3 linked regions of the Cricetulus griseus genome follow. The protein of the gene in region 1 interacts with the protein of each later gene in a biochemical or structural test. Links are inferred from orthologs where the notes say so. Each region holds a gene or a part of one and is shown on either strand. Other genes may lie near its edges.

Region 1 (10,372 bases):
AGATAAAAGACCAATCAGGTGTGGAAGCAGAGGCAGGAGGATTCCTGTGAGTTCCAGGACAGCTAGTGAGACCATGTCTCAAAAACAACAAAAAGAAAAGACCAATAGGGACTAGAGAGATGAATCAGCTGCTAAGAGAACTTCCAGTTTTTGCAGAATTTAGTTCTCAACACCTGTTAGGCAGATAAGAATGGCCTACAACTCCAGCTCCAGTGAATCTCATCCCCTCTTCTGTCCTCTTCTGTCCTCCATGAGCATTAGCAAACACGTGTCACAGACAGACAGACAGAGAGAGAGAGAGAGAGAAAGAGAGAAATCTAAAAAAGAAAAAGGAAGGAAGGGAGGAAGGAAGGAAAGTAGGAAGGAAGAAAGGAAGGAAGGATGAGATGACCAATTGGTCCTGTTGTTGCAGCTGGGAGGGACTTCTGTACTACCTTGTTTCTTCAGTTTTCTTGGTTAGAATGGTCAGGAGTCACGTCCTTCAGAATCTTTATCAGTGAATTTAATCGAGCGTGCATTAGCATTATCTTCTCTTTCAGCTGGGAAGAGACCGATTAAAGATTTCTTATACTCTCTCAACCCTCAGTTTGCAGGTTATAATGTCACCAGTTTAAAAATAATAAATCTTTAAAAAAAACAAAACAAAACAACCATGCACAACACACACACATACACTTAAAAATTGCCTATATTAAGGAAAAGGATATAGCTCAGTTCTAGAACAGGCTGATCTACACAGTTAATATGAGGCCAGTCAAAGTTACAAAGTAAAATCCTATCTCCAAAAAGAAAAAGAAAAAGAAAAAGGTTTTGCATATTAAGTAACTACACAACCAAGTTTACCTCTGCAATCTTTTCTGGTAGAGGCACATTGTGAATATCCATCTCAGATGCACTTACTATTTCCTTTGTTTTTAAGAGATAGCTAGAGAGAAAATATATAAAGTATTAATATCATTTCCAAGAAGTACCATCAAAGCCTGCCTTAATGGCTCCAAGGATCATGGTATTTTTTATTGGAAAAACAAATTCTCAGTTAAAACCAAAAACTTTCCCATTCTCAGAGACAAAATTATCTCAGGAAAACTGAAAATGAATCCAGAATCAAATTAATAACTACCATGTGTAAAAAAAATTCACTAAAGGCTGGGCATCCCATCTCTTGGGAGACAATGGAAGCTGGGTGCTGGAATCCAAACTGGGTACTATGATCGAGCTGTAATTTTAACTACCGAGCCATTTCTCCAGCCCTTTCAGTTTCTTGTAATAAAACACCTTAAGTCAAATGTTTTATTAGCTAGGAAGATGATGAAGTATCCAATGAATCTATGGGAAAAGTAGTAAATGAGATCATAGTCAATACTATATTCTTCATTTCATTAATCTTTTTCATCAGGTAAGATTTTTTCTGTATCTGGAGTAAAGTGCAGAAAATACTTACTCCAAGAGTAGTGCATTCACTTTCCAAGTTCAGCACCAGTATCACCTAAAAATGACTGTAGGTCGCTGCGTTTAATATTATCAACTGACAGATCTGGGATGACATAGGAGACAAGCCTCTATGAGGAACGATCTAGATTAGCTTAATCTAGATGTGAATAACACCAATCCATGGGCAAGAGTACAGGACTAAAAATAAAAATGAAAAAGTAAGGGCTGGAGAGATGGCCCAGCATGGTTAAGAGCATTAGCTTCTCTTCCAGAGGACCTGGGTTCAATTCCCGGCAACCATATGGCAGCCCACAACTGCCTGTAACTCCAGTTATACCCTTACATATACATACATGCAAAACACAAACGTACACAAAAATAAAACTAGATCATTGGAGAGAGAAAGCAACCTGAGGATTAGCATTAATCTCTGCTTCCTGACTGCTGACACAATAAAACCAGCCACCTCCTCCATGGCTTCCCACCATGATGGACTGCACCCTCAGACTATGAGCCACAATAAGCCCTCCCTTCCTTAAGGTCAATTTTGTCAGGTGTGTTGTCCAGTCACTACACAAGTAACCAATACAGCCCTCATTTCAAATTCCTAGGGTAGAAAATTTGATTGGCTTAGTGGGTCAGGTATAAATATACATTTCCTTGAGGTTGGGTACCACGTGGGCCAAATCCTATATATGAGAAGGGTATGAGACACAGCAGTAAACCAAGTAATCTTGTACAAGACTATTTTACAGAAGCATACCTTCCAGAATAACCCTTAATGAAAGAATACCCTTAAATTACTCTATGTGACTATTAAGACATGGTACAATAAAACATCTAAAGTAATCATGATATTTATCACAAGATTATATTTTGTCTTTATTTAAGGTATGTGTATAATAAACAGTGCCTGGCCTTTTGCATTTTCTTTGGTTATAAACACCTTGACTTTTCTAGAAAAGTTTAAAAACCTGATTTGATAAATAATATCTCTGTCTACTCACCACACCATTTTATCACAGGAAAGGCAGAAGTGACCTCTCAAGGCAGCCAGAGCAGCATGGGTGGAATACAGATGGAAACCAACAGGAACCCCACAGGAATTACAGAAGAGTAGATTGTATGTGCTGGTGGGAATGGAAAGAAGCAGAATATAACATCAGGAAAACCCAGAACAGAAATAAAAATCACCGCCTTCTGATGGCAGTGTCTGTTATCCTGCCACTCAGAAGCCCAGGCAGGAGGATCTCAAGTTCAAATTCACAGGCTTCCAAAGACAGCTGGGATACAGCAGACTCTTGTCTCAAAAAAACAAAAACAATGGGCTGGAGAGAGGCTCAGAGGTTAAGAGCACTGTCTGCTCTTCCAGAGGTCCTGAGTTCAATTCCCAGAACCCACATGATGGCTCACAACCATCTGTAATGAGATCTGGTGCCCTCCTCTGGCCTCCAGGGATACATGCAGGCAGAACACTGTACACATAATAAATAAAATCTTAAAAAAAAAAAAAAAACAAAGGTCATAATTTATGACAAAAATTAATTTCTGTACTGCCTCCGATCACTTGTACAGTCCATGGCGCCCTACCTTATAAAGAAAATTACTACTGTCCTTAAGATGTTTGGGGTTTTTCTGCTCCATGCTATAGAGTTAACATAATATAGCTTGTTGGGCCCTGGATCATGAACACTGGAGGACTTAAGGCATTTACTTCTAATATGTAAACAAATTGTATCTCCATTTCATTATATAGAACAAGGTCAATTAGATTTTAATTTTTTTTTTAAGATTTTATTTATTATGTATACAGTCTTCTGCTTGCTCGCCAGCAGAAGGTACCAGATCTCATTTAAGGTGCTTGTGAGCCACTATGTGGTTGCCGGGAATTGAACTCTGGACCTCAGGAAGAACAGTCAGTGTTCTTAACTACTGAGCCATCACTCCAGCCCCTAGATTTTAATTTCTATTCATTGTAATATTCCATCAATCTGGAAGACAACAAGTCATAATAGCAACAGGCAGTGAAGTGGAATATTTTCCCCTACTCTTTTTTGTTTGTTTGTTTTGTTTTTTGTTTTTTTCTGAGACAGGGTTTCTCTATGGCTTTGGAGCCTGTCCTCGAACTAGCTCTTGTAGACCAGGCTGGTCTCAAACTCAGATCCACCTGCCTCTGCCTCCCGAGTGCTGGGATTAAAGGCGTTCGACACCAATGCCCAGCCTTATTTATTTGTTTTTTTGAGACAGGGTTTCTCTGTAGCTTTGAAGGCTGTCCTGGAACTCACTCTGTAGACCAGCCTCTGCTTCCCGAGTACTGGGATTAAAGGTGTGTGCCACCACCACCTGGCTTACCAGGCTTTTAAAAAGAGATTTGGTGTAGGTTTCCATATATGAGAACCCAGCACTTGGGAGGGAGAGGTAGAACTGTAAAGTCAAGGCAAAATCATTATTTTTTGTGAAATTAAGATATTTTACATAGCTAAACATATTAAAAATGTCACTTCAGGAGCAGTGAGATGACTCAAGGGGTAAAGGCACTTGTTGCCAAGCCTGAGGAACTGAGATTAATTCTTGGGACCAGCATGGTGAAAAGAAAGACTCCTTCAAGTTGCCTTTGAACCTCAATATATATGCCAAGCCCCAAGACCCCCAACCATACTTACACACACACACACACACACACACACACACACACACACACACTGTTTATTTATGGTTTTTCAAGACAGAGTTTCTCTGTTGTAACAGCTCTGGCTGTCCTGGAACTCACTGTGTAGACCAGCCTGGCCTGGAACTCACAGAGATCCACCTGTCTCTCTCTACACACACACACACACACACACACACACACACACACACACACACACACACACACACACCACCTGCCAAGCACTGAGATTAAAGGCATAAACCACCAGGTGAGAAAGGACTCCTATAAGAATAGGAATGTGTCTTTCAGTTTGGCAAAGTGGAATAGAGGTATGGTTACAACTTAGTTTTGGCCTCATAAGCACAAATTTGCTGAGTACTTTATTGCTATGGGGAAAATATGGGAAGAGGCAAATTACTAGTAGTACTGAAACACCAAACATTCAATTGTGTTTCCCCAGTTTCAGAGATTATTACAGAATTAGTTCTGTTATGGTTTGTAATATAAACTCCAAGTTAAATTAAAATTTAAATAGTCCTAGTTATCTCACAGGATGTTTTAGTCCTCAGATGTTAAAACCTACACCCAACTCTAATTTTTCTTTCATTAATGCCTTGTTGACATGTTTCAAACGCATAAAAAATGTACCATCCAAATATATTGTATGGAGAGAATAAACTTTTGTCACAACAAAAATAAAGTTTTTTTTCTTGTTTACGACAACTACATAGTCCTCGGTGTCATTAAATAAGGAACTATAGATCCTTCTCAGGAATTCTCCGCACGTACCTGCATTTGAGAGAACCTTCAATGCCAACGAGACAGGGCTCTAATAAAACGACATTGTTCGTGACTCCTGAAAGACAAAAGGGTTTTGAATAGGAAAACCGCCCACCAGATTCATCCTGGTCATAAAAGTCAACAAAACGCGTGGGGCTCATCCAAAAGCGCAAGCTTAGCTCACGCGAGGTCGGTCCAAAGTTTGATTCCCAGCTCCGGAAAACAAAACCACGCCTCCCTCACCCAGCTCGTTTACGATCCCACAGGTCGGGATTACCCTTTCTCAGACGCCAACCCTCGCCTCACTCACTGGAGAAGGCCACGGTCCCGAGGGACCTCGACAGGTCCCAGGCGAGATGCACGGTGTCGGCGAGCACCGCGTGGCAATGCGCGCAGTGGAACACGGCGCACCTCTCCGGTTCCAGCCACGCAGGCAGCCGCAGGTCGACCGGTGACGTCTCCACCTCAGTCTCCGGAGGACCTAGAGGGGAAGACCCTGACACCACCTGAGTGTCCCACTCCATGGAGGTAGCAGCAGAAGGCGTGTCACAAGAGTCACTGCAGCACGGCGACTCGGGGGACGGGAGGAGGCGCCGCGAGCGAGCCATCATTCTGAAGCCGGCGCCTCTTTTTGTACGCTCGCGCCAGGTTCCACCGAAACGAAGTTTCCTGCATCCTCGTTGGACAACATGCCCGTAAGGCACGCCCACAAGCCGTCGAGCGCCGCGTATTCATTGGTTAGGCTTGCGCTATTGCGCGCTTCAGCAGCTCTATTGGCCAGCATCGGAAAACCCCACCCCCGAGGCGTTCAACCAATGGACGTGCAGCAGCCTCCATTTAAAATGAATATAAAAGTCGGCTTGTCAACGCCTTGGGTGGCGCCAGTTTTGAACGCTGCTGTTTGAGTCGCCTGGTTGTTTTTCTGGGTGTCGCCGGGATTGTAGAACGCGATGACCGTCCCCTCTGCAGAGGAGTTGGACTCTTTCAAGTACAGCGACCTGCAAAATTTAGCCAAACGGCTGGGCCTCCGGGCTAACCTGAGGGTACGGTGCTGGCTGGTGGTGCGGGCAGTTGGGTCGGCGGGGTAGAAGAGACCAGGGGTGTGGGGGTCACGGGGCGAAGGGACAGAGAGGGAACCCCCGGGGGACTCTGGTTTTGGGTGAGTAGGTTCGGCTCACGTTGGCTGGAATCTGTTAAACGAAAGAGAAGATATATCTGTTATTTTATTTGGAGGCAGGAACTCATAAAGGCCTCTTACTAGAAACTCTAATGATAGTTTCCTGCTGCCAGAAGGAAACACAGACCCATAAGACATAATCAATGTAATGTCTAATGCCTGTTATTAGAAAAAGTTGAATTGGCTCCTGGAAATTTCCCAAATTACTACTTTTAAGTAAACTGTGATAGTAGTACCTACAATCTTCTTGGGCCTTTATTTGGATGCCAAGCCATGGGGATATAGTATGATCGCTATAGTGATGGTGTTCTTTTTCAAAACCGGTTAGGACTTTTGCAAGGTGTTCAGAGAAAACGTCATTCATTGTGAGACTGGGGCTTGCTATGTTGGAGTTGAGATTTCCCACATGTGTACCCCGTAGATTTGTACAGCAAGCTGATATTTACACTAAATGTCTATTCAGTCATCACAAATATTTTTAAGTGATATAAACAGAATAATGAGACCATAGATGCTCCTCGAATCTGTCTGAATGGCAATGAAGAGTACTTGGAAATGTTTCTGAGTTACACAACTTTAATGAGTAAAGCTTAGGCCCTCAGGTATTTGCTATCTTGTGGATTTTTTGTTTGCTTTTCTTTTTTTCCCCAAGAGATTATTTTTTTATTAGTTCAAATTGGAAACAAGGCTGCTTCACATATCAATCCCCTCTCCCCTTCCCCCAGCCCCCACCTCATCCCCCTCTGCTCCCCAGGGAGGGTAAGGCCCTCCATGGGGGTTCCCCAAAGTCTGTCATATCATCCTGGGCAGGGCCTAGGCCCTCCCCCATGTGTCCAGGCTGAGAGAGCATTCCTCCATGTGGGATGGGCTCCCAAAGTCCCTTCTTACTGATTCACTACTAGGGGCCCCATAGAGTGCCAAGGCCTCCTCATTGACATCCATGTTCAGGGTTATGGATCAGTCCCGTGCTGGCCTCCTAGACACCAGTCTGGGGTCCATGTGCTTCCATCAGCCACTGAATGAGGGCTCTAGGATGGCATATAAGGCAGTCATCCATCTCATTATAGGGGAAGGACATTTAGGATAGCCTCTCCACCATTGCCTAGATTGTCAGTTGGTGTCATCCTTGTAGATCTCTGGGAATCTCCCTAGTGCCAGATCTCTCCTTGAACCTATAATGGCTCCCTCTGTTATGGTATCTCTCATTCTGCTCTCTTCTATTCTTCCCCCGACTCAACCTTCCTGCTCCCCCATTTCCTCCTCTCGCCTCCTCTTCTCCCCCTCTCATTTTCCCAGCTCCCTCTCCCCTACCCTCATGCTCCAAATTAGCTCAGGAGATACTGTCCCCTTCCCCTGCTCTGGGGTCCATGCATTCCTCTCTTAGAGTCCTTCGTGTTTCCTAGTTCCTTTGTTGATGAGGATTGTAGGCTGGTAATTCTTTGTTCTATGTCTAAAATTCATATATGAGTGAGTACATACTATGTCTTTTTGTGACTGGGTTACCTCACTCAGGATGGTTTCTTCTAGTTCCATCCATTTCAAGATTCCATTGTTTGTTTTTTCTGCTGAGTAGTACTCCATTGTGTAAATGTACCACATTTTCTCTATCCATTCTTCAGTTGAGGGCATCTAGTTTGCTTTCAGGTTCTGGCTATTACAAACAATGCTGCTATGAACATAGTTGAACATATTCCTTGTTGTATGAATGTACATTCTTTGGGTATATGCCCGAGAGAGGAATTGCTGGATCTTGAGGTAGACTGATTCCCATTTTCCTGAGAAACTGCCATACTGATTTCCAAACTGGTCGTACAAGTTTGCACTCTCACCAGCAATGGAGGAGTGTTCACTTACTCCTCATTCTCTCACTAGGTAGATCAGACTGGCTTCAAACTCTGAGAGAAAAGTGTTTGGGCTGGGCGTTGGTGGTGCACGCCTTGAATCCCAGCACTTGGGAGACAGAGGCAAGTGGATCTCTGTGATTTTGAGGCCAGCCTGGTCTCCAGAGTGACTGCCAGGATAGGCTCCAAAGCTACACAGAGAAACCCTGTCTCGAAAAAAACAAAACAAAACAAAAAAGTAAAAAGTGTTTGACCCTCAACTGTATACCTCAGTGTAATAGGGAAAAAAGAACCTAATAAATATACTTGATGTTTGATTGTTTTGAAATAGGGTCTCATTCTGTAGCCCAGGTTCGCCTAGAAATCTCAGGGAATTGCTGTACCTGACTACATTTGACCTTTTAAGAAAGAAAAGCCATGGGAGCTGGAGAGATGGCTCAGAGGTTAAGAACACTGGCTGTTCTTCCTGAGGTCCTGAGTCCAATTCCTGGCAACCACATTTGTCTCACATCCACCTTGAATGAGGTCTGGTGCCCTCTACTGGCCTACAGAGCACATGCAGACAGAAGACTGTATACAGAATAAATAAAATCTTAAAAATAAAAAAAAAAGGAAAGCTAGACAGATCAGTATTTATCTTCAAGAAAAAGAATAGGGAAACTGTCCTAGAATGGAAAGTGAGTCCAGGACTTCCCTCTTTCCCAAGGACTTGTAAGACCCTCACTACAGGATACCACCGCCCACAAGAGAAACTCTGGCCCAAAACAGATTCCCTAGTCAACTTGATATTTCTGCTGACTTACTTCCTTTGTAGGTTTTCATCCATCTCTACAGTCCAGGCCACAGTTTTGATTTCCTAAGCATAGAGTTGGTCATCTGCTGTCCTGAAGCTAACTCTTCAAAGACTGTTCTTTGCTACAAGGACGAAGTTTTACACTCAAGAAGCCTACAGGGCAGGCCTAGCTAGCAAAATTAGGATCCTAACTGCTTTCAACCCCCTGACACACACACACACACACACACACACACACACACACACACACACACACACAGGGTTTTTCTGTGTATTAACCCTGGCTGTCCTGGAACTAGCTCAGTAGACCAGGCTGGCCTGGAACTTACAGAGATCCAACTGCTTCTGCCTCCCAAGTGCTAGTATTAAAGGTGTGCGCCACCTCCTGGCTTACCTTTCCAACTTTTTTCTCACCCTCTTCTCCATTGGGTCAGTGTTCCAGCCATGCTAAACTTAGTCCTCATCTGTCCTGTTGTTTTCTTTCCCTTATTTTTCTCCATCTTGTCCTCTCTGTTTGACACTGTCTTCTCCATTCTCACAGTGTCAGCAGCCTCAGCCAGGACAGCCATCTTAAAGCTGGGGCATCCCATCACCTGCTGCTGACATTGGTCCTATGGAGCCCACAACATAAAACTTTGTCATATACCCATTTTATGTCTTTTTTTCTTCACCTGATTTTGCCCCTGGGGTGTGAAATTTAATTGTGTTCTAATCTGTCAGCCCAACCAGAGCACCTTCAATAAACAGAGGAAAAGAGGTGTCTGACATAGTTTTCCTACCTGTTTGACTTTGAATGTAATGATGAGCTGTTCTTTTCTACAGGCAGACAAGTTGTTACGAACCTTGAAAGCCCACCTGAATGCAGAAACAAGGAAAGAGAATCTAAATCAGGTGAGTGATGTTCTTTGCCAATTATTAGCTGGTAAAATATTGTTAGTTAATGAGCAATTAATACTTATTAGTGATGATTTAAGATGCAGTAGCCGGTGTAAAGGCACATACTTATAAACCTACTATTTGGAGGTGGAGCTGGCACAGACTACTAGAGTACTAGGTCAGACACTGACCCCAGCTCAAAGAAAACAAAAACAAAGAAAAAGATGTGATGTTTATTATTATATGTACCACCATGCCCAATTTTGAATTTTTTATTTTATTTTTTTTGGTTTTTCCAGACAGGGTTTCTCATGGCTTTGGAGGCTGTCCTGGAACTAGCTCTTCTAGACCAGTTAGTTACAGGGAGTTGGATACCCTGTAACTGGAGTCATAGATGGTTATAAGCTGCCATGTAGGGGTTGGAAATTGAACACTGGTCTACTGAAAGAACAACAACCCATTTCTCCAGGCCCATTTATTTGTTTGTTTGTTTATAGGCAAGGTCTTCCAATGTAGCCCAGACTGGCCTCAAATTTGAGACTCTGTCTTACCCAAGTATCTAGGATTATAGGTCACCAAACATTTGTGGAAAAGCTACAGCCCAAAAAATACTAAGATAAGTAGAAGAAAAATACCTGAATGATGGAGCTGGAGCCTGGTAGTGGTGGTGGCACATGCTTTTAATACCTGGATTTGGGAAGCAAAGGCAGGTGGATCTCTGTGAGTCTGATGCCATCCTGGTCTACAGAGTGAGTTCCAGGATAGCCAAGGTTACACAGAGAAACCCTGTCTTGAAAAAAAAGAAAGAAAAAAGAAGGAAGAAT
Region 2 (10,287 bases), on another chromosome or scaffold:
ATGTGGCTAATCAGGCCGAGGGACAGATCTTTTTAACAAATAATTCACTAAAACACCAACAGGATGCTCATGGCCCCAACATCTAAGGCACCACTTAAACCATTTTCAGTGGCTTAAAGCAGTTGGGGGGTGGGGGTGAGGGATGGATCTAAGTGGTTTGTGGAGCTAGGATCCCCAGTAAACAAGGAACCCTGGCAAGCAGCATGACCACCTTCTCCCTGCTCTCACCTGGGGAAAGAAAAAAAAGAAAGAAAAAAAGAAAAAAAAAAAAAGGCTTGCTCCACTCTTCCCCAACAGGGACTCACTGTGTAGCCTTGGCTGGCCAGGAACTCCCTGTGTAGATCTAGCTGGCCTCGAACTTACAAGGATTCCACCTGCCTTTGCCTTGCAAGTGCTTGGATTAAAGATGTGTGTCAGCACACTGGGCTCCAGACTAAAGTTCTAAAGATAGGCTTCAGCCAGAATGTCTAGGGAGTGGGGGTATTTTTCTGTGATTTGGCTGCAAAGGGATTGAATGGAGGGAGCTGGGGAGACAGGAAGAGCACAGCCTGGAAGCCTTGTGGAAGGGAAGGAAGCTGAGGAAGGAAAGACAGATACTGGCTGCAGAGGCGGGAAAGGAAGAGGTCATTTCTATAGAAGCAGGTGCTCCCATCATCCTTAGGGACAAATCCTAAGACCTGCTAAATGCTGACACTAGTGGGCACGACATGGATCCCCATCTTCCAGAGACCTAGGAGAACAAGAAATATACATAAAACATTAACAGTGAGATACCTCACTGTAAACTGCTGTAGTGGAGACAAGCTGGCCTCGTCCCTAGCCTCCCTTTCTAACAAGGTAACACTTACCATCTCCCGGGACTTGTATGCAGGGCTGTAAATGCTCACTGCTGTCTGGAGCTTGCCTGTTTAATCTGGTAATCATCCTCATAGAAGAGTCCTTGGGGTATAAAAATCAAGAAATACAAGCTTAATCAAGTCACAACATATCTCTAGCCACTGTGTATCAACACATTCACAATCCTAGTGGGACACACCAGGGGAATAACGGCTTTGCAATTATCTTCCTGTATGTGCTTAATGAAGGGCCTCAAGACTTCCAGAAGATGGTAGAAAATTCCACTGGTCAAGGAGAGGCTACAGCAGAAGTCAGGAACCCAAAGGGCTGACCTGGGATCTACAAGTATTGTAGTGTCTGGGGCTGCTGCAGTTCCTGCTGGGTGGAGCCACTGAGTATAGTCAAAGGGTCACTCCTCTGGGGAGGACACTTCCACTCTCTAAGGCCTGTGTTCACCAGGCTCCACTAGGAAGGCGCCAACAAGTGCTTATTAGTAAGTGCCAGCACTCAACAGAAAGCTGCTTACATGATTTCAGATGGGCCCAGGGAACCTGAGGTGGCCAATCACCACCAAACTAAGTGACTCCTGCCTCCAGGGACATCACTGCAAGCTAAAACCTCAAAGTTTTCAGCTTAAATTTTATGGCTTCCAGTGTCTGAAGGGCAGAACTTCTGACATTCATGGAAGCAGCTGGTCCTCAGTACCCACTACTGTTTGTCTGGCACCTACAAAGAGGGCCCATGCCAAACAAACCAGTGCAGGGCAATGGGGAGTCCATCTTAACTTCCTGTCTCCCACCATCCTCAGGAGGGCAATCTTGGAATCAGCATAAACACTTGGTCATGGGCGGAGATCACCAATAATAAACCCCAGCAACACTGTAGAAGTCCTCAGTTGTAAATACAGGCTATGCATGTCCACTTTTCTAGTCCTAAGAAAAGCTCCAGCAGTTTTACAGACCTCAGGCAGAGGGTCTCCTACATTTTAAACAAACACCTCAAATAAATAATTTTTTTGCTACCAGAATTACCATTCTAGCACTGGCTGTCATGTGTCCTCTGGCCCTGAGTGAAGGTGACACAGAGGGTAGGGCAGGCTGCTCCTTGAGGACCATGTAGCAGGCTTAATAAGCCAAGCCACAGATGTGTTCACTTTCGCCCCCTGGTGGTTCTCTCATAACAGAGCTGAACAACAATAACAAACACATGGCTGGCACATCCTGAAGCACTTACAACATCTTTGCAGACAGAGCATGCTGATCCTGATTCAGAACAGGAAGGTACAAGGGCCAAATGCCTTGGAACTGATCAGCAGTTAAAAGAAAAAAAAAAAAAAAAAAAAAAGAAAAAGAAAAAAAAAAGACAACTATGGAACATGGCTGTAATCCTAGCATTCCAGGAGGCCAAAGGAGGACTGATGTCAGTCTGAGGCCAGCCTGGGCTACACAGCAAGTTCCATGTTAGTTTGAACTACAGTGTGAGTCTGTGTCTCAAAAAACAAAAAGGCAATCAGATTATACAACAGCTGGTGAAGACAAGGATCCCATTATTGATGAACTAGAAAGGTGTATGAGGTGCATTTACAGACAGGAACTAAAATGGTATCAGTGATTACATGCACAGCAGTCAGCTAACCCAAGTGTTCTAGCCTTCCTATGGCTATAATAATCAACCAAGGAAGCTCAGTTTCAGAATTTCTATTAATGCTGTGTAACCTTAATCTTGATGTTCCATTGTGGGTAAAAGGTTTCCCCAGGAACCATGGTTGCCCGAGATTCATTTAGACCAGACAGTCTTATAGTCATTACCAGGGCAAAAAACCACACAGTCTCACAGCAGGAAGGCAAACTATTGATGCCATCCAGGAAACCAGTATTCAATCACTAGCTGTAGAGCCCTGGTGCAGGGAAACCCTGCAGAAGGGTGTGTGATTCTGCACTCTCGCCTCTTCATCCTTCTGCTTCCTGGTTTCAGAGGATGAAAGGGCCATTGTTTTTATCAAAAGAAATGAGATTTGGTCTTTTTTTGTAAGGCCCCAACAAAGGAGTCTCTAGCTGGTCTAGTACACAGTCTGCAGGTCCCCAATCTGGTCCAGCATCGGCACACATGAGACGGTTCTGAGGGCCCTGTGAACTACGATGGAGAAAATTTAGCACACAAGAGCCAGGCAACAGAAGAAATACCTGAGGTGGGTCTCTCGAAGCTCTCAGCAGTGGCCTCAGGGCTCACTCACACAGGGATTTAGTCAACACTACAGTAAAGCATTAAAGGTAAACTTGACGATAATTACCTGAGTTTGTTCCTTGCTTTTTTCCTTTATCAACTTTCCTCCCCAAACTCTCAATCCTTAAAAAAAAATGAAGATGACAATTGAAGGAATCCAAAATGCTCAGTTGCACTGACAGAAAACCAAGCTGGATGGCACAAAAGGCTGTACACTAAAAACAATCCAGGTTTTGGCAGTGTTGGACAAACCTATCATTAATGACAATTCTCTCCTACCCAGAAGGCAGCAGCTTACCTGATTTCAGCACTAACCTGAAGCGCTAAGGACAGTTCATATTCTAAATACATACTACATGCATATTGACTGGAGAGGGGGCACATATACCATACATTTACAGAGCAAGCATTCCCCACCCCCTCCCTGAGACAAGGGTTTCTGTCTAGCCTTAGCTGTTCTGAAACTCACTCTGTAGACAAGGCTGGCCTTGAACTCAAAAAGATAAATCTGCCTCTGCCTTCCCCAGTGCTGGGATTAAAGGCGTGCACCACCACTGCCTGGCTTAGAACAAGGGTTTTTACAGGGCATTTTTTGTACCCCATCCTTGGCTTTCCTAGGGCAATCTACTGGCCTAATACAGAGAAGCCTGCATACAGAGAACTCTGGAGTTCAAGTGCACCGTCCCTGTCACTCACTAGCTAGCAGAACCTGTGCAATATACTCCTTCTAAAGTTACTAAGAAAGAATGGTGGGTTTTGAGGTATGAGATGACTGTATTATAACAGAAGCATAAAAAAATTTACACAGCACTCTCTATGCTCCAGATTTTTACCAAGGAGACACCATTTAGTACCCACAACCCATCTGCATGTAACTCCTACACCCACCCAGAAGCCCACGGGGAACAGAGACTTAGCATGTTTGCTGTGGACAGACACGCAAAGGAAAAGGAAGTTCAGACGACTAGCCCAGGCTCTCCACTCATGTAGAGGAGCCAGCACGTGACTTCTGGGAGGTGCTGACTGCACTTGATCACTGTACAACACAGTCTTTCCAGAAGACAGCGATGCTTGAGTATATGGGTTCATGAGTCAAACTGAGGCTTTGCTGCCCTGGCTGAGTGGCCCTCTCTGTGGGAATCTACCTTTGACAGCAATGGTTTTTAAAAGGGGCTTCTACTGCAGGGTTGAAACTGGACTTCACAACTTCACAAGTGCAGGCACAGGTGAACCATCAACACAGGCAAATGAATCTATTCCTGCTGCTGCTGCTGCCACAATCACTGTCTTTGATGGGGGTTCATGCTATTGCACAGGGAGGGTCAGGAGCATCTTTGGAAAGGCCATGCCAAAGACTCTCTCAGATTAAGTAATGGGACGTTGGGACTCATGGCATGAATACAAGCTACGAGCTTGCTAGGATGCAGAGTTATTAACAATTGCAGCCCTAGGAGTCCATGTGCTGGCCAGTTCTCAGGGAGGGCCCTTTATATGCCAACACGGGATGGTCTCAAACTCTTCAGATACTTCACTGTTGTTCTCATATAACTGACATCAGGTTTTCATGGACAAAATGAGTGTTATTCAAGATAGATAGACTGTCCAAAACATTCCAGACGCTGCCCACCCCTGCATGAACAGTCACAAGAACACAGAGAAGCCTACAGACAGACAGCACCCTCAAAGACCCCTGTATTACTGTATCCAGATCCCACCCAGAGCAAAAAAACAACCTGCTGCAGTATTATTTCTGTTTCTGTGTAAAACTTTCACTGAACATGTGCCTTGAACAGTCAAAAAGACAAAGGGCAAAGACTGCACTTGTCAAAGAGTGGGTTCTATAGACTCTTGGCAGACTGTGATGTGAAATCAGATTTTATTACTAAATGATGAGTCTTATGGAAGGAACTAACCTCATCAAATGCAAACACACCCCAGTTAAAGAATCCAAGCAAGAGGTGCCAGGCGTTGGCGGCACACGCCTTTAATCCCAGCACTCGGGAGACAGAGGCAGGCGCATCTCTGTGAGTTCGAGGCCAGCCTGGTCTCCAGAGCGAGTGCCAGGATAGGCTCCAACGCTACACAGAGAAACCCTGTCTCGAAAAAACAAAACAAAACAAAACAAAGGTTTAAGGCAGTCCACAACATTTAATAAAATGGCTCCGGAGAGGCAGACTGATGGACTGTCTACAACAGATGGGTCCGAGTTACACAGCACAACTCGTGAGAGCCGAGCAGTTCCAATGGCTTTGCAGGCACTCCGGTACCCATGGTTGTCAACGTCCTTTTTACTTTACGGAGACACTGTGCTGCCTTTAAGCAATTAGCTCGGGCTTCCGCGCCGGGCGTTTAAAAACTCAGGCTGCATCTGTGTCTCCGGGCATTGCTTTTAGAGAAATGACTTGGAACTCAGCAACTCACGGTTGCAAAGTGAGGGGAACAAGTGCCGCGTTGCAAATTCTAGACCCCACCATTCTAGCACACTGCCAAGAGGAGGAAGGTTCCGTACCCTGGGGCGTCTCGTAGGTCAGCGTGGACATCTGCACCAAAGGGTCGTCCTCAAAGGGCTGGTTGTACTGCGGGGAAAGAGAGCTGCTGATCAGATCCTCGGCGCTGGATCCCCGCCCGCCCGCCCGCTGCCGCTGCCGCTGCCCGCTGCCCGCGCCCGCTGCCCGCTGCCCGCCTCGGCCAGCCCAGCCCAGCCCACCTTCGCTATCAGCCGATGCATGAACGTCTGGAAACGGTTCCGGCTTTCCTGGAGATGCCGCAGCAGCCTGTTATCCGGCTGGTCTTTAGGATCCATGGCGCAGGCCGCTCACAGCCTGGAATCCGCACAGTCCAAGCCGGCGCACAGATCAAACGGGCCGCCCGTCGCGCTGATAGGGCCTTTCAAACGTATTTACGCAACCGATCCTGCCTGTGCTTCCGGTCGCCTCTCCCAGGGAGCGCTTCCGGCGGAAACGAAGGAGGGAGGGCAGCCGGAGAGGGTGGAACATGCGCATTGCGTCCCCATGAGGCACTCCCGCGCCCTCTAGAGGCGCCTGGACGAATTGCCTGCGTGTCCCCGCGGGGTCCCGGAGGCGGTCCCTGTCCCCATCCTTTTGGGTCGCCAGCTTGGAAGGGCTGAGAGAAAGACAGCGCCAAATAACTGTCCCGAAAGGAGTCAGGAAAGCCAGGGTTCATAAATTCCAACAAAAGGCACGTTTAAAGGTGCTGACAGATACTATGAATGTGACAAAATCTATGGTTTTTATCCTAGGGTTTTGATCAACTCCCTTTCCAATTTCTGATTATATACTGTTTCTTGAGAGGACTGGTAATTAGGTGTCCATTTTATGAGGGCATTTACTTTGGTTGACATTTTAGAAATGTTTCACATAAGTTTTTTTGGATTTTGTCTTCTTGTGGGGTTGGGGGATTGAACCCTAGTTTAGGATGGTTTTACTCTGTCTTCATAACAGTTGCATTTGTGTGCTTGTGTTGGTGTGAGTATCTCAAAGTGGGTGATAACGGAATCATTACTGAGGACCTGCACCATAATCTTCCCACGCTGTCCTGTTGAAGCTGCAGAGGGAAGAGGCTCTGGCAGGCGCATGGGCTGTGGATGTCCGCACAATGTATTTGCTGCAGGCACAGAGAGAGGCTATCAAGTCGCTTTCAAGATGCTTAGCTTAGGGCCCTCAGTTGTCTGACTCTCTTGGCGTTGTTTACTGATGGGGGCTGCACCATCCAAACTGCCAGCGTGACCCTGGCCCATGGGGGGATGCGAAGGCTGTGCTGTTTGAGTGCAAAGGGGGTCAACCAGACACAGCATTCGGCCCCCCAGTGCCTCCGTGTCTTCCCCGTCGCCGTGAGCTGAATTTCTCTGAACTGAAAGCTAATATAAATCTTTCCTTCCTTAACTTGCTGTTTTTGCTAGGTATTTATCACAGATAATTTTGAGGAAAATCAAGTAAAGAAATTACATAAATGAAACAGAACAGATACTTTTGTCCTAAATGTTTTTATATTAGTGAAGATATATACAATTCAAGGATCTGCTATATTTTATTAATAAAAATAGTTTTAAAATATTTGATGCTATTTACAAGCCATATTTTGCTAATTATTGAAGGAGTTTTCAAATATAGTGATGTGAAATCTGGTCGTGAAGGTTAAATATTAAGTATATACAGGCATACATGCTGGCAGAACACTGTATACATAATAAATAAATCTTTAAAAAAACATGTTTGTGCTTTGATGTCATGAAGCCACATTTTGAAATCTAAGCAATTAAAAATGTTGACAGGGGTTTAGCCTAGGGATATTTATGAAGCACTAACCACATGTTCAATACTCTGAGGGTGCTGGGTAACTTAGTTGCATACCATCTATGTTCCATTAAGTTTTTGTTCTGTTTTGGTTTATTTGTTTGTTTGTTTTTGTTTTTTTTTCGAGACAGGACCAGGCTGGCCTCGAACTCACAGAGATTCGCCTGCCTCTGCCTCCCAAGTGCTGGGATTAAAGGCGTGTGCCACCAACGCCTGGCCTGTTCCATTAAGTTTTAATGGTATCTAAAGTGAATATGGCATTTAAGTCTTAACCGTAAGTTCTAAACATATACATTATATGCCTGTACTTTTCAAATGTCTGGATGGGTCTGGAGAGATGGCTCAGCAGTTAAGACTGTGTGCACCTCTTGCAGAGGAACCACGTTCAGTTCCTGGTGCCTTTGTCAGGCTGCTCACAAACACCAGTAACTCCAGTTCCAGAGGATTTTCTGACCCCAACATGTACCCACACTCATGTGTAGATGCCTGCCTACACATAATTAAATATAATAAATCTTTGAAAAATGTGTATGTTTTCACAACTTGAGTGTGCATTTAGGAAAATCTCCATGATATATTCAGACCAATGATGGCATAATAGAATATTTTTTTGTTACAAACTGTTTGGCTTATTGAATATTTTTAATATTAGCTTTCTCTGGCCACATTTTCCAGAATGGGTGCCTGTTATGCAATGTGAGGCTGTGTTATTCATGGAATAAAAGAACACAGACAAACAATCACTTGTTTTTCCTCTGGTTATACAAAATTAGAATATTTTTATCCCAGTGAGACACATAAGGCTCCAGACATCCTAAACCTGTCTCCATGCAACTGAGCCATGTTTTATCATCATGGCACCTCACCTCTCCAGTCTTACCCAGAAGTGTTTTTTTCCCTGAAAAAATAGGGCTAAGGCTTTGGTGATATTTCTGCTCTACCTTCAAGTGGTGGGAAATTTTTTTCTTCTTCACCTTGGGTTTTCTGTAACACAAATGCATTCTTAGGGTCACAATTAATGTGTTTTAATGGGCTACACATTTTAAAAATCAATGGAAGAATTTACATCAAAAATAGAACACAATTAGATTGATTTGAGTGACCTATTTTTAATCAGCCCCATTATTTATGGATCTGAAAATTCTCAGGACATCTTTCTCTGGAGCATGCAAAGATCAGCCCTTGTGGTATTATGTGTGAATAGTTTTAAAATAGGAGTCTCAGGGTTAATTGATAAATTGCTAAACATGCTTCCCCCTTTCTGATTTTCTAAAGATCGGGTCTCATTCTGTAGTTTATACATTTTTTCCTTTTTTTTTTAACCGCTCAAAACTGTCTATTGTAGGAATGTTCTAAGTTTGCCCTCTGGCCTCTTTTCCTGGTCTAGCGGCCCAATGCAGTTCTTTCCTCCTCCCATGGCTCACTGGGGTGTTCTAGTTGCATTCCTGTTGATGCGATAAGCCACTCTGACTGACAGCAACTTGGGAAGAAAGGATTCTTTTCAACTTAACAATTTCAAGTAGCAGTCTGTCACTGAGGGAAGTCAGGACAGAATCTCAAGTAGAAACCACTGAGGAATGCTGCTTACTGGTGGCTGTCTCTCTCTCTCTGTCTCTGGCTTATATGTGGAGGTCAGAGGACAGTTTTGGGGAGACAGTTCTGTTGTGGAATTTTAGTTTAAGACTGTTACATTTGTTTATGCTGAGGAACATTTATTTAATGATGCAAAGATGTGTTGCATTCTTTTATGTTGCATTTGTTTCACTCTGTAAAGCTGTGTTAATTTGCCTGCCCCAAGCACCTGCTTGGTCTAATGAAGAGCTGGATGGCCAATAGCCAGGCAGGATAGGTAGGGCTGCCAGGCAGGGAGAATAAGTAGGAGAAATCTAGGTTCCAGAGAGGATTGGGGAGTGAGGTGGACACTGTTATGATCCATATCTTACAGGCTGGAATCTATGTCTGGGGGTTGAGAATGTCGGGTGGTGAAACCTGTCCAAGGTCCTGAATAACTGATGGAGATGGAGTTTGGGCCTCAGCTCCTTTAAGTGTGAATATTCTCTGGGAATGTCAACTTTCTGCATTTCCCTTGCATTGAGGTCAAGGGGCAACATGATTTTGATTCCTAAAGCTGGGGAAACTGGCCTCATTTGTTTGTTCTTTACATTGAACACAAGGCTAACAGAACAGAGACATGGCATCCCATCCTTTGAATGAAAACGAAAACAGCAAGATTTGTTGTTTTAGTGTCCCAAAGCTAAAGGGGGGGGTGACTTGACATATTTGACACCATTTTTGGAATGAGAGATGAAATTTCCTTCACGATTCTTATCTCTATCTGCATAGTGTTCCCTGTGACACACTGGACTCACTCTTAAGAGGTGAATTGTTACACGTGAGTGTGGTCTGCCAGGCACAAACTCTAAGCAGTTATATTACGGATCTACTCTCTGTATCTGCCTCTGGGGATAAAAATGATATAATGACAAAACAGATCACTCTCACTTGAAATAATCATATAAAATTTCCACGCAAGTGATTTTATGTTATCCTTGAACATTCTGAATGTACAGAATTAATGTAAAGGACCAGAAAAGAACACAGCTGTACCCACCAGCCTCCACTTTGGTATTTAAGGACACATTTTTAGTCTTACACATGTTTAACATCTTGCATTTCATATAAGCCATAATGTTATATTTCACATCATTTTATCAGAAGCTTGTCTCCAATTTTTATTTAGATAAATTTAGTCAGGCTTTAGATACTGTTTTTATGCAGTAGCATTATCCTTTGAGTCACAGCTCTGTGGATTTTGACAAAGGTGTGCTCATAACAATGGTGAAAGATCAAGCCTTTGAAAAGCTTCTTTATTCCCTTCATCCATCCCCCAGGCCCTGGACAGCACCTACAGTTG
Region 3 (10,275 bases), on another chromosome or scaffold:
AGGAGCATAGAGGCAACAAATTGGACTTGAGAGATTATTTAGATTAAAAAAAAAGAGGCCTGGAAGTTCTAGAGGGAGCAGGTGGGGTGATGGCGCTGGGAGAAGTTGGGGTGAGGGGGTGAGTATGAATATGATCAATACATTGTATATGAATATGATCAATACATTATATGATACGAATATAATCAATACACTGTATATATGAATATGAAATTTTCAAAGCACTACTAAAATTAAAGGTGATCTGAAATTAGGGGCCTGTGACACCCAATTCACATTGGTTACTAATGCTTTTTAGAAATCCTGTAGAATACAGACATTTCCTTGCATTTTTGAAAGAACAGAAAACAAAACAAAAACAAAAAAACCAGACAATTGTTTATTATAGTAAATAACTAAATTTACTAGAATACCAAAGGGACTGCTTTCTTAACCAATTTGAAATGCCAATTCTTTGTGACATTCTTTTGGGGAGTCAGAGGGGATTCTAAGTCTCATGGCTCCCAAGGCCAGCTCTCTACCTAGCTTCAAGTCCCAATCCTCCTGCCTCACCTGCCAAGTGCGAGACTGCAGTGTACACCACCACACTGAGTTCACGGCGCTGGGCTCTGAGCCCAGGGCTTTGTACATAGCGCACGGAGCTACCACCCCAGCCCTGCCTCATGATCAGCTGAGGCCGCTGTTCTCAACCTGTGGGTCCTGACCCCTCTGGAGGTTGAGAGACCCTTTCACAGGGGTTGCAGATCAGATACTGTTACAATTCACCACTGACCTGTGTTAAAGGGTCCCAGCATTAGGAAGGTTGGGAAGCACTGTTCTGAGAGGTTGATAACGGAAGTGTGGACAGTACATGCTGGTCCACACAATTGCTTAGAAACATCTTGCTAGGCACACTTGCACACATGACCGCAGCCTCCGGGAGGCAGAAGCACCAGCTAAGAGCATGCACTGAAACTTGTTGTGGCGCACACCTGTAAGCCCAGCACTCGGGGGCAGGGGCAGGCGGATCTCTGAGTTTGAGACCAGCCTGGTCTACAGAGAGTTCCAGGAGAGCCAGGGCTACACAGGGAAACCTTGTCTCAAATACCCAGAATCAAAAAACAAAAAATAAAAAAACAACTCAATCGCTTTCTCCTTTTAAAAAAAGTCTCACATTTTCTCCTGTAACTTAAGTGTCTGACTTTCCCAATACCAAGTGAATTAGACACAAAGGGTGACTCACTGGCTTTACTGTCAGAAATTATTATTCAAAAACATATTTGGACCCAACAGTGTTGCTTTAGCATGGCTGTTCTCATGCCAATCTCTGCAAACCTAACTGTGAGAAATCAGTCATGAGGCAGCCACTTATCCAAAAAACCTACCTTTCAATGGCTTCGACACTGAGGCAGAACAAGTCCCTCTTGTAGTCTAGGTTCTTGGGAGTGCATTTGTACACATAGCCAAGGCTGAGGGAGCAGCCTGTACAGGACAGAGTCTCAAGAATGCTGCAATAAAGACACAACACCACTTAGGGGAAGAGTAGCAATGAGCAGGATTGCTAAGTCCACAAGCTGAGGCTGGCAAGGCGGCTCAGCGGGTATAGGTGCTTGCTGGCAAGTGAGAAGGCCTGAATCCATCCCCAGGACCATGTGTGAAAGGAGAGTTGTCCCCTGACCTCCACAGACACACACACACACACACACACACACACACACACACACACACACACAACACACACACACACAGACACACACACACACACACACACACACAGACAAGACAGACACACACACACACATACACACACACACACACCCTCTGAAACAAATAAAAATCAAACTAAACTCCATTAGCCCCGAGTTGCTTCAGGTGAAAAATAACTATCTTCCTATTGTTTTCCTTTTGTGGTTTCTTCTTGTTGTTTCTGGGTTTGTTGTTGCTGTTGCTGGAGACAGGGTCTCACTATGTAGCCCACCCCAACTTCAAACTTTTGACAGTCGTCATCCTCCCCCAAATGCTGGGGTGACAAGCATGCACCTCTACAGCCAGCTTTATCCTGACTGTATGGAGTCATATATATACATGCATACATACAGTGTGTGTGTGTGTGTGTGTGTGAGTGTGTGTGTGCGTGTGTGTGTGTGTGTGTGTGTGTGTGTGTGTGTGTATGTCTGTGTGTGCGCGTGTGTCTGTGTGTCTGTGTGTGAGTGTATGTGTGAGTGTGTGTGTGTCTGTGTGTGTGTGTGTGTCTGTGTGTGTGTGCGTGTGTGTGTGTCTGTGTGTGTGTGTGTGTGTGTGTGTGTGTACACGATAAGATGACTGCAGGAGAAATGTGGTCAGCTCTGAGCCACACTACTTCTTGCAACAGATGACAAGAAACATAAACAAAATGCCAAGGCAGGGTTTTCCAGAATATACAGTCCTTGATCTGGTATTAGAAAAACTATCTAAAAGAGTCAGCACATCCTTTACAATGTCCAACCAATCACCCAGGGTCATCAACGCTCTAGGTAGGAAGGCAGGCAGTTTCCCTGTAATGAAACAGAGAGTGAGTATTCAGGCTTTCAGGCCACCAGGGGTCTGGTGTAAGCACCATGTACACATAGCAAAGTCAGACACACAGAACCCAATAATCTGCTCCCCTCAACACAGCCACACAACACAAGCCCAGCCAAGGCCAGGCGTGGTGGCCCACACCTTTAATCCCAGGACCGGAAGGCAGAGACAGGCGGATCTCTGTGAGTTCGAGGCCAGCCTGGTCCCCAGAGCGAGTGCCAGGATAGGCTCCAAAGCTACACAGAGAAACCCTGTCTCGGGAAAAAAAAAAAAAAAGACAATAAAATCTTTTTTTAAAAAAGAAATATAAAAGCATCTTAGAGGCTGGAGAGCACAGTGGTTAAGGACACCAGTTACTCTTCAAGAGAACCAGGTTTGGTTTCCAGCACCCACATAGTAGCTCATAACCATGCAGAACTCCAGTTCCAGGGGTTCTGACACCCTCTTCTGACTTTTGTGGGCACCAGGCACACATGTGGTGCACATAGGCATAGGCAGGCAAAATACTCACATACATGAAATAATAAACTTTTAAAGAAAAAAAAAACCATCTTAGTAGATCCCAAGTTGAAAACCCCACCTACACTACCAACAGTGAACAGGTAAATCTATATATATATATAGTAGCTATGTGTACAAGCTGCATAATAATTAGGAGGCTACAACACATTATCAAGATTGTTAATCGAGAAAAAGGATTTAGAAAAAAACCTGAGATTTGAACTCCTAGGATATACCGATAAGTGGATAATCTGAATTTTCAAATCAACCACGACACCATACAGGAGGTCATGTGAGCCCTCTGACATCTTGGTATCGTTTGGATGTGGTCTGTCTTCCCCTGAGCTGCTGAACTGAGACAGTGCACAGCCTTCAGAACCAGGGTCTCCTGAAGGCAACTAAGACTGGACAAGTCATCATGGTGGAGCCCATGACTAAATCCTGGTGGCTTTATAAGAAGAGGGAGAAGACCAGAAGAGACACACACACACCCAGGACTGCTGTGTCTGTGACTGAGACTGGTTGTTTATGGCCACACATGGCTGCGTGTACCCAGTCGGCTGTGGATGGGCCCTGTGTTAGTATTTCCTATCTGTGTCAGGACATGGCAGAGACAGGCAGCGCTCACACTGACACGGCCCCTCAGGCTTTGAGACTTTAAAATAGACATGCTCTGCATTTACTTTCCCTTTTCTTCAGCATCAAACCCAAAACCCTAAGACCAGGGTTAGCTATACCTTCAGAAACCTAGAAACTTCCACTCTCCCATCTAAAGGGCTATCCCCACTGTGCAATGGATTTTTACTTTTTATATGTGTTCAATTACCATGGAAAGTTATGTCACAAGCAATCTCACACAATGGTGGAAGACTTCTTAAAACTAAACGTTTTCCCTGACATAATATCACAAAAAATACCTTACTTACCACCCGTCTTCATCTTTGCACTTGGACAGCTTCTGTTCTTTATCCACAGACACATTCGAGGAGACACCTGGAAGAGAGCGGCATCGCTTTATTAGTGTGGTCGTAAATGTGAATAAAGCTAAGTAAAACATTCCAACTGGGGCAAGATGAAATTAATCTGAAAGTTAATTAATATTAACTAACAGAATTTAATCTAAAACTTAATCTTTTTTTATTTTTTATTTTTGGAGGCAGGGTTTCTCTGTATAGCAGCTCTGGCTGACCTGGAACTCGATTTGTAGACCAGGCTGGCTTGGAACTCACTGAGATCCGCCTCTGCCTCCCGAGTGCTGAGATCTAAGGCATGGGCCACAATCGCCCAACCTAAAAATTAATCTTTTAAAAAACACTTTTACACCCTCCTGCAATTGTTAAAGGGGTGATTCCAGTAAATCCCTGAGGGAAACTTCGGCTCCTACAAAGAAAGGATTATTATTAATGTGGGGTAAATAAACACATCTATAACCGGTTTATCCCAGTTATATTTTAAAACCTAACAACAGTATTACTACATAAAGAAAGCAAGGCAGAAATCAGTATGGTGGCTCCTCAGAAAATTGGGAATCAGTCTACCTCAAGATCCAGCAATCCCACCCTTGGGCATATACCCAAAGGAAGCACAGTCACACCACAAGGACATTTGCTCAACCGTGTTCATAGCAGCACTATCTGAACAGCCTGAACGTGGAGGCAACCTAGATGCCCCTCAACCGAAGAGTGGATAAGGAAAACCTGGTACATTTACACAATGGAGTACCACTCAGTGGTATCCGCAGTGACATCTTGACATTTGCAAGCAGATGGATGGAGCTGTAAGGGCCATGGGCTAAGGGAGCCCCTGCGATCTGAGAAATCCTGACACTCCCCTGAAGGAAGCAGCCAGCGAAAACGCTTGCTACATCCGAATAATGCCCATGAGGATGCTTGGCAATGCCCTTTGGGGGATGGCAGACCCCAGAAGGAGACCCGTGGTCACTCGGGAGCCACCCTCCTCCCGTCCGCTCCCCGGGAACCGGGGCCCTCGTGCCGGAGGCTCGCCCCAGGGGCCGCCCGGACTGACAGCGCAAGAGGATGCAGTTGTTGTCCTCCTGGCTGGTCACCCAGGTCAGAGAGTCGCCCAGCGGCCGGCGACAGCGCGCGCACAGGAACACCAGCGGGTTCTCCCCGGCCGGGGCCGCCTTCTGCTCGCACCGCCCCGCCCCGGCCTCCGCGCCCGACATGCTCGCCCACGTCCGAAGCAGCAGCGGGCGGCGGCTCGAGTCTTCCGAGAGCCGCTTTCCCAGCAGCGAGGAGGGCAGGCCAGCCCGGGAGAGCACAGGAAGCCGCCGGCCAGCACGAATCTGCCGCGCTCCGGGGACCCACGGGAAGAGCGCCGCTGCGCACGCGCGAGGACCCAGAGGCCCGGCTCCGCCCGAGGGGAGGGGCCTGAGGGCCCGGCAGCTGCTAATGCGCATGCTCGGCGTCCGGCTGGGCGGGCTGGGCTCACCGCGCCTGCGTCCTCCGGTCGCTCTAGGCTGGGAGGCCGAGCGGGAGTGTCAGCGGGCGGCGGGCGGGCGTGTGCGAGCGTCTCTGCTGCTCCGCCACGCCACCGTCGAGGATGTTGAGGGTCTCAGGAGCAGTGGCTCGCCTGGCCCTTCCCCACCCTGAGCACCAGTGCACACGCCCGTGCTGGGGTAGCTGGGCGGGGGCGGTGCACGCCTTTAATCCCAGCAGAGCTAGTTCCGGGACAGCCCGGTCTACACAGAGACACCCTGTCTTGAAAAACACAAGCAGACAAACAAAACAAATTGCGTCCTACTTTAGTGCCTCTCGCCACTAGCAAAAGGTTTCGAATCCAAAGTCTTCAGGTTGACCTAGGCGCTCCACGAGGTGGTTAGCAGTCCGGGAAACTATTTTGGCTTCTCTGAGTATGGTTTTGATTTTATTTTGTTTGTTTGTTTTACTGAGGCGGTTGTCCTGTTCTGGCTGCCCTGGAATCTACTGTGTAGCCTACCCCACAGTGAGTCTCCTGCTTCCGTCTCCCGCGTGCTAGGATTACAGGCCTACCTTGCAGATTCTTCGTACTAAATGATCAGTAATCCTCTGAACTATTAATGAGGACAAACAAAGGAGAATGTGTGAGGATAGCATGCTTGGAGAAAGTGCTTCAAATCATTTAGGATTTTTCCTCCCAGGGAGTTGTCCTTTTTTCTACTGCTTTTGTAGAATGCCCGGCTTCCCCCACACTATCTGTGTCACGTGAGCAGTTCTGAAAGGGGAAAACTAATCTCAAAGGCTTCACTTCTAGGAATGAAGGGACCAGACCCTCACTCAGCCCCCTGCTTTAGCAGCCATGACAGGCTACAGAAAAGACACTTAGGCTTCTGACACAAGGAAACTCCAGATCCTCTGGCCTCCCGGAGCCTAGGGCCAAAAACAGGATGTAATCCTGTAGCTTTTGTCTTGAAAACCTAGCAGTAGACAGGGAATTTCACTTCCTCTGGAGGCTGCTGCATCAGCTAGCCAGACGGGGTCCCTGTCGTGGTTGGATTAATAAAGCCTTGCTTTTGCAGTTTGGTGGGTCTATCTGTCTTCCTGGTGGTCTCTGGGGGATCTTTGCAACTTGGGCACAACAATACAACCCACATGAGTTATCTACCCACAGGTAGCATCTTTGGAATTGAGTGGGCAATTGTCCACCAGACTTTGGGATCCCATGGTCAATACTTAAAATGCTACAGTAGGGTACCCAGTATCGCAGGCCTTCATCCTAGGCGATTGCATCTTGTTGCAAGAAGCATAGCTCTCACCTCAAAGTGGCTAAGGCAGAGTTTATTATGGAGCCAAATCTAAGTGGCCATGCCCAAGAACACAGATCTCACATTCCAATGTGGCATCAGTTTTATGAGGTTTTAATTGTGTGTGAATGGGGCACAGTAAAGAAACCGCCAAAACGGCCCTTTTGTCAATTAAAGAGGAAGGTTTTTATTGTAGATAAGAAAGTATCTGGAGGCATCTGGAAAAGTTCAGAGCAGAGAGAGAAAGCTGCAGACTGGCCCTGGCCCTGGGGTATCTGCAAGAAAGGGGAGAATAACAAAAGAGAACGGTGCAGATGCTGAGATGGAGGGCAGTGCAGGGTGTGGGGGTGCCATTACATAGAGAACCCGTGGGTATCTGGGGGAGGAGACCTGGGACTTTGGGGTAGAGGAGGCGGTGAGAAGGGCCAGGATGCTGGAGTTGGGGGCTTGAAATGTGTGGCGGTGAACAGGGACCGGAGGAACCTGGAGGCCAGCACAGGCTTTGATATGCCACCACAGACACATACGTCCCTTCTGCCAGAGACGCAGGGGGATGACTACTTCTGGAACCTGTTTCACAAGTTCCTGAGGAATCTGGCTTTTATTTAACTGCCAGGAATCCTTCTGTGGTCCGGCTTGGGGTGGGTCAAGACCTGTTATTTCGGGATATATGCACTTTCTGAGACTTAACATTGAGGTAATGGAACAGAGAATGCCACAAACCAACCACCTTTTCAAATATGCTGGCAGGTATACCAGGAAGGCAGGTTACAGCAAGGCCATGGGAGCCCTCTGCTGTAGACCTCCAACGCGGTCTGGTCGTATTCTTAGCATTTGGGTTGGAGGCTAGGGATCTGTTTGTATATATCAAAGCAAGTGTTTATGTAAGTCTCAAGGATGTGGCCTCACACAGGAGGGCAGTAGGTGACCATGTAAGGGGACTAAAGATAACCCCAAATAACTGGGCTCTGAACTTGACAGCATTCCCAAAGTCATTGAAGTTCTGGTCCCTCTATTGGCCTTGGTGGTCTCTGCCTCTTTCTAGGAATTATCCTTCAGAGTTCCAAGATCCCTGGTGGAGGCAGGAAATAGCAGTCATTGCCAAACACTGTAGAACCCGTGTTTTGCTGAACTTGATGGGGTGGGAGGGGAAGGGAAGGAAAGAGAGCTCAGAAAGAGAAAAAAGACGAAATTAATGGCTGAGCCCTTGACCATTTTGCTGGGAGAATTGTGGATTGATTTTCTTTACATTTATTTAAGGGGGGCATGCAAATGCTGGAGGTCAGAGGACAACCTGGAGTCCCTTCTTTTCTTCCTGGGGCTTGGACTGCTGAGTACCTTTAACCTCTGAGTCACCTCGCCGCCCTGATTGCGGATGCTCACAAGTGCACTGGCAGCTGAGGGAAATGAGAATTAATAACTGCTGATTACAATCACAGACAGATTTTAATTGCATGCACTTCCTAACACTTGCACACCAGAATGACAATACGATGTGATTGCAGGTCCCCAGAGGCGGGTGGCTGACTTCTCTACCAGGCAGGTTTGATTGCAGCCGCATTCAAAGACCGTTTAGATGTGGGTGGGAGGAGAGGATCCAAATGGTACCCAAGGCTGTCTTCTCTGATCAGTGGCACCACGAGAATGGCACATTGTGCTCTCAGCCCCCAAGGACCTTCTGTCACCATAAAGAGCTCTTCTTAGGTGATACAACTCACCGTAGGGTAAGCCGGACCAGGGCATGGAGTGATATTTATATCTATGTTCCAGATGGAACTCAGGAATGTATCTCACCACTGTGTGGCCCCATCTTCTACTCTGGACAACTAGAAATCAAGAAACTGAGTTCAAAACATGCTTGTTTGTTTGTTTTTCGAGACAGAGTATCTCTGTGTAATAACCCTGGCTGTCCTGGAACTCGCTCTATAGACCAGACTGGCCTCCAAATCACAAAGATCTGCCTGCCTCTGCCTCCCAAGTACCGGAACTAAAGGCATGCACACCACCACTGCCCGGCTCGGCAGGATGTTCTTTAAATAGTGTTTCTTCTCTCTTCTATTTGATGAGTGGAATCACAATTTTCCAGTCCTTAACCGATCCTTGGTTCTCGAGAAAGTTAAAACAAGTAGGGAGAGGATGGGGTTTTCAGTAAACCCATACATAATACAGCAGAGCTGAGAAACCCACATGTCTTCACTAATGCATCTTGTTCTAACGATGAAAAGGTTGAGGTCCACGGGGGTCATGAGCAACAGTTGAGATGACTGTCAGAGATTTATGAGAGCCTGGACTGTTAACTATTGAGCATAGCCCTCCCCTTCTAGAAAAGCTGCTCCCTTCCCCCAAAGAAACACCTAGAAAGAATAGCGTCACCATCCATATCTTGGTTATGATTTTAACCGGAAAGAAACAACGCTAGCAGTCAAGGTCTTGGAGACATTTGTTAGTATGAGTTTGCATTGTTATCTCAGAGATGAATGGAACTCATGAAGAGTCATTTCTTGGGACTGGGAAAATGGCTCAGTCAGTAAAATGCTTGCCATACAAGAATGAGGAACCGAGTTTGATCCTCATAACCCATGTTTATAAAAACAACAAAACAAACAAACAAAAACCCAGCAACACTCAATGTACATGGGCTCTAGGGGTTGAACTCAGGCCCCTTGTGTTTGTGAGGCAAGCAACACTTTACCAGTGGAGCTGTTTTCCAAACACAAGTGGCTGCTCAGGTATCAATTTATTCCCAGTCACACACACACACAAAAATGGTTTTTAAATTATATTCTTTACAGAATGGTTCTAAATGGAACCAAGAGTTTCCAGCTTCATTAAAATCAAGATATTAACATTGGTAAATGCTATTCGTTAATCAAATGTAAATTTTTCTGGACTTCCTCAGATTTTTGTTTTGTTTTGGTTTGGTTTTTTGAGACAGGGTTTCTCTGTGGCTTTGGAGGCTGTCCTGGAACTAGCTCTTGTAGACCAGGCTGGTCTCAAACTCACAGAGATCTGCCTGCCTCTGCCTCCCGAGTGCTGGGATTAAAGGTGTGCGCCACCAACGCTTGGCTTTCCTCTAACAACCTTGTCTCCTTTTCCAAGATCCAATCCAGAATCCAATCTTTCATCTGCCACAGTCTCTGGCACCACCTTAGCTTCGCCTCACCTTCCCAGCGGGGTCTCTTCTGAAGGGGACCAGGAAGCCATTTTGTTGGATGCCCTTGATTTTCCTAATGTCTTAGAATTACTTGGGTCACACATTTAACAAGAGCACCACAGAGGTGACGTGTCCCTCAGTGCACACGGTAAAGGACAAACATGGTCATCACTGCTTGTATGCAGCACCTGGGATGTAGCACCTGGAGTTTCTTGTGATTGTTTTTCTGTATGTAAACAGTGTTGTTTTCATTGTTATCTTGTGATTGTTTTTCTGTATGTAAACAGTGTTGTTTTCATTGTTATCATGTGATTGTTTTTCTGTATGTAAACAGTGTTGT

Evidence for each region.
Region 2: the proteins of Oip5 (region 1) and Hjurp form a complex in vitro, tested with the Homo sapiens proteins (2 studies listed by BioGRID). The link is inferred for Cricetulus griseus from reciprocal best matches to the Homo sapiens genes OIP5 and HJURP.
Region 3: the proteins of Oip5 (region 1) and Mis18a form a complex in vitro, tested with the Homo sapiens proteins (3 studies listed by BioGRID). The link is inferred for Cricetulus griseus from reciprocal best matches to the Homo sapiens genes OIP5 and MIS18A.

Annotation. Positions count from the first base shown.
Region 1 is NC_048599.1:58,863,202-58,873,573, reverse strand, and holds the start of Oip5 (protein Mis18-beta), read right to left. Parts: upstream 5,556-10,372; 5' UTR 5,473-5,555; coding exon 5,172-5,472; intron 4,938-5,171; coding exon 4,871-4,937; intron 2,562-4,870; coding exon 2,439-2,561; intron 926-2,438; coding exon 844-925; intron 540-843; coding exon 444-539; 3' UTR 435-443; intron 1-434. Other genes in the region: Nusap1 (nucleolar and spindle-associated protein 1), read left to right, coding at 5,812-5,904, 9,495-9,563. UniProt on the Homo sapiens protein: Required for recruitment of CENPA to centromeres and normal chromosome segregation during mitosis.
Region 2 is NC_048595.1:439,833,443-439,843,729, forward strand, and holds the start of Hjurp (Holliday junction recognition protein), read right to left. Parts: upstream 5,984-10,287; 5' UTR 5,864-5,983; coding exon 5,768-5,863; intron 5,637-5,767; coding exon 5,570-5,636; intron 3,184-5,569; coding exon 3,128-3,183; intron 940-3,127; coding exon 849-939; intron 703-848; exon of another isoform or gene 678-702; intron 1-677. UniProt on the Homo sapiens protein: Centromeric protein that plays a central role in the incorporation and maintenance of histone H3-like variant CENPA at centromeres.
Region 3 is NC_048597.1:7,009,664-7,019,938, reverse strand, and holds the start of Mis18a (protein Mis18-alpha), read right to left. Parts: upstream 5,459-10,275; coding exon 5,065-5,458; intron 4,033-5,064; coding exon 3,966-4,032; intron 1,488-3,965; coding exon 1,365-1,487; intron 1-1,364. UniProt on the Homo sapiens protein: Required for recruitment of CENPA to centromeres and normal chromosome segregation during mitosis.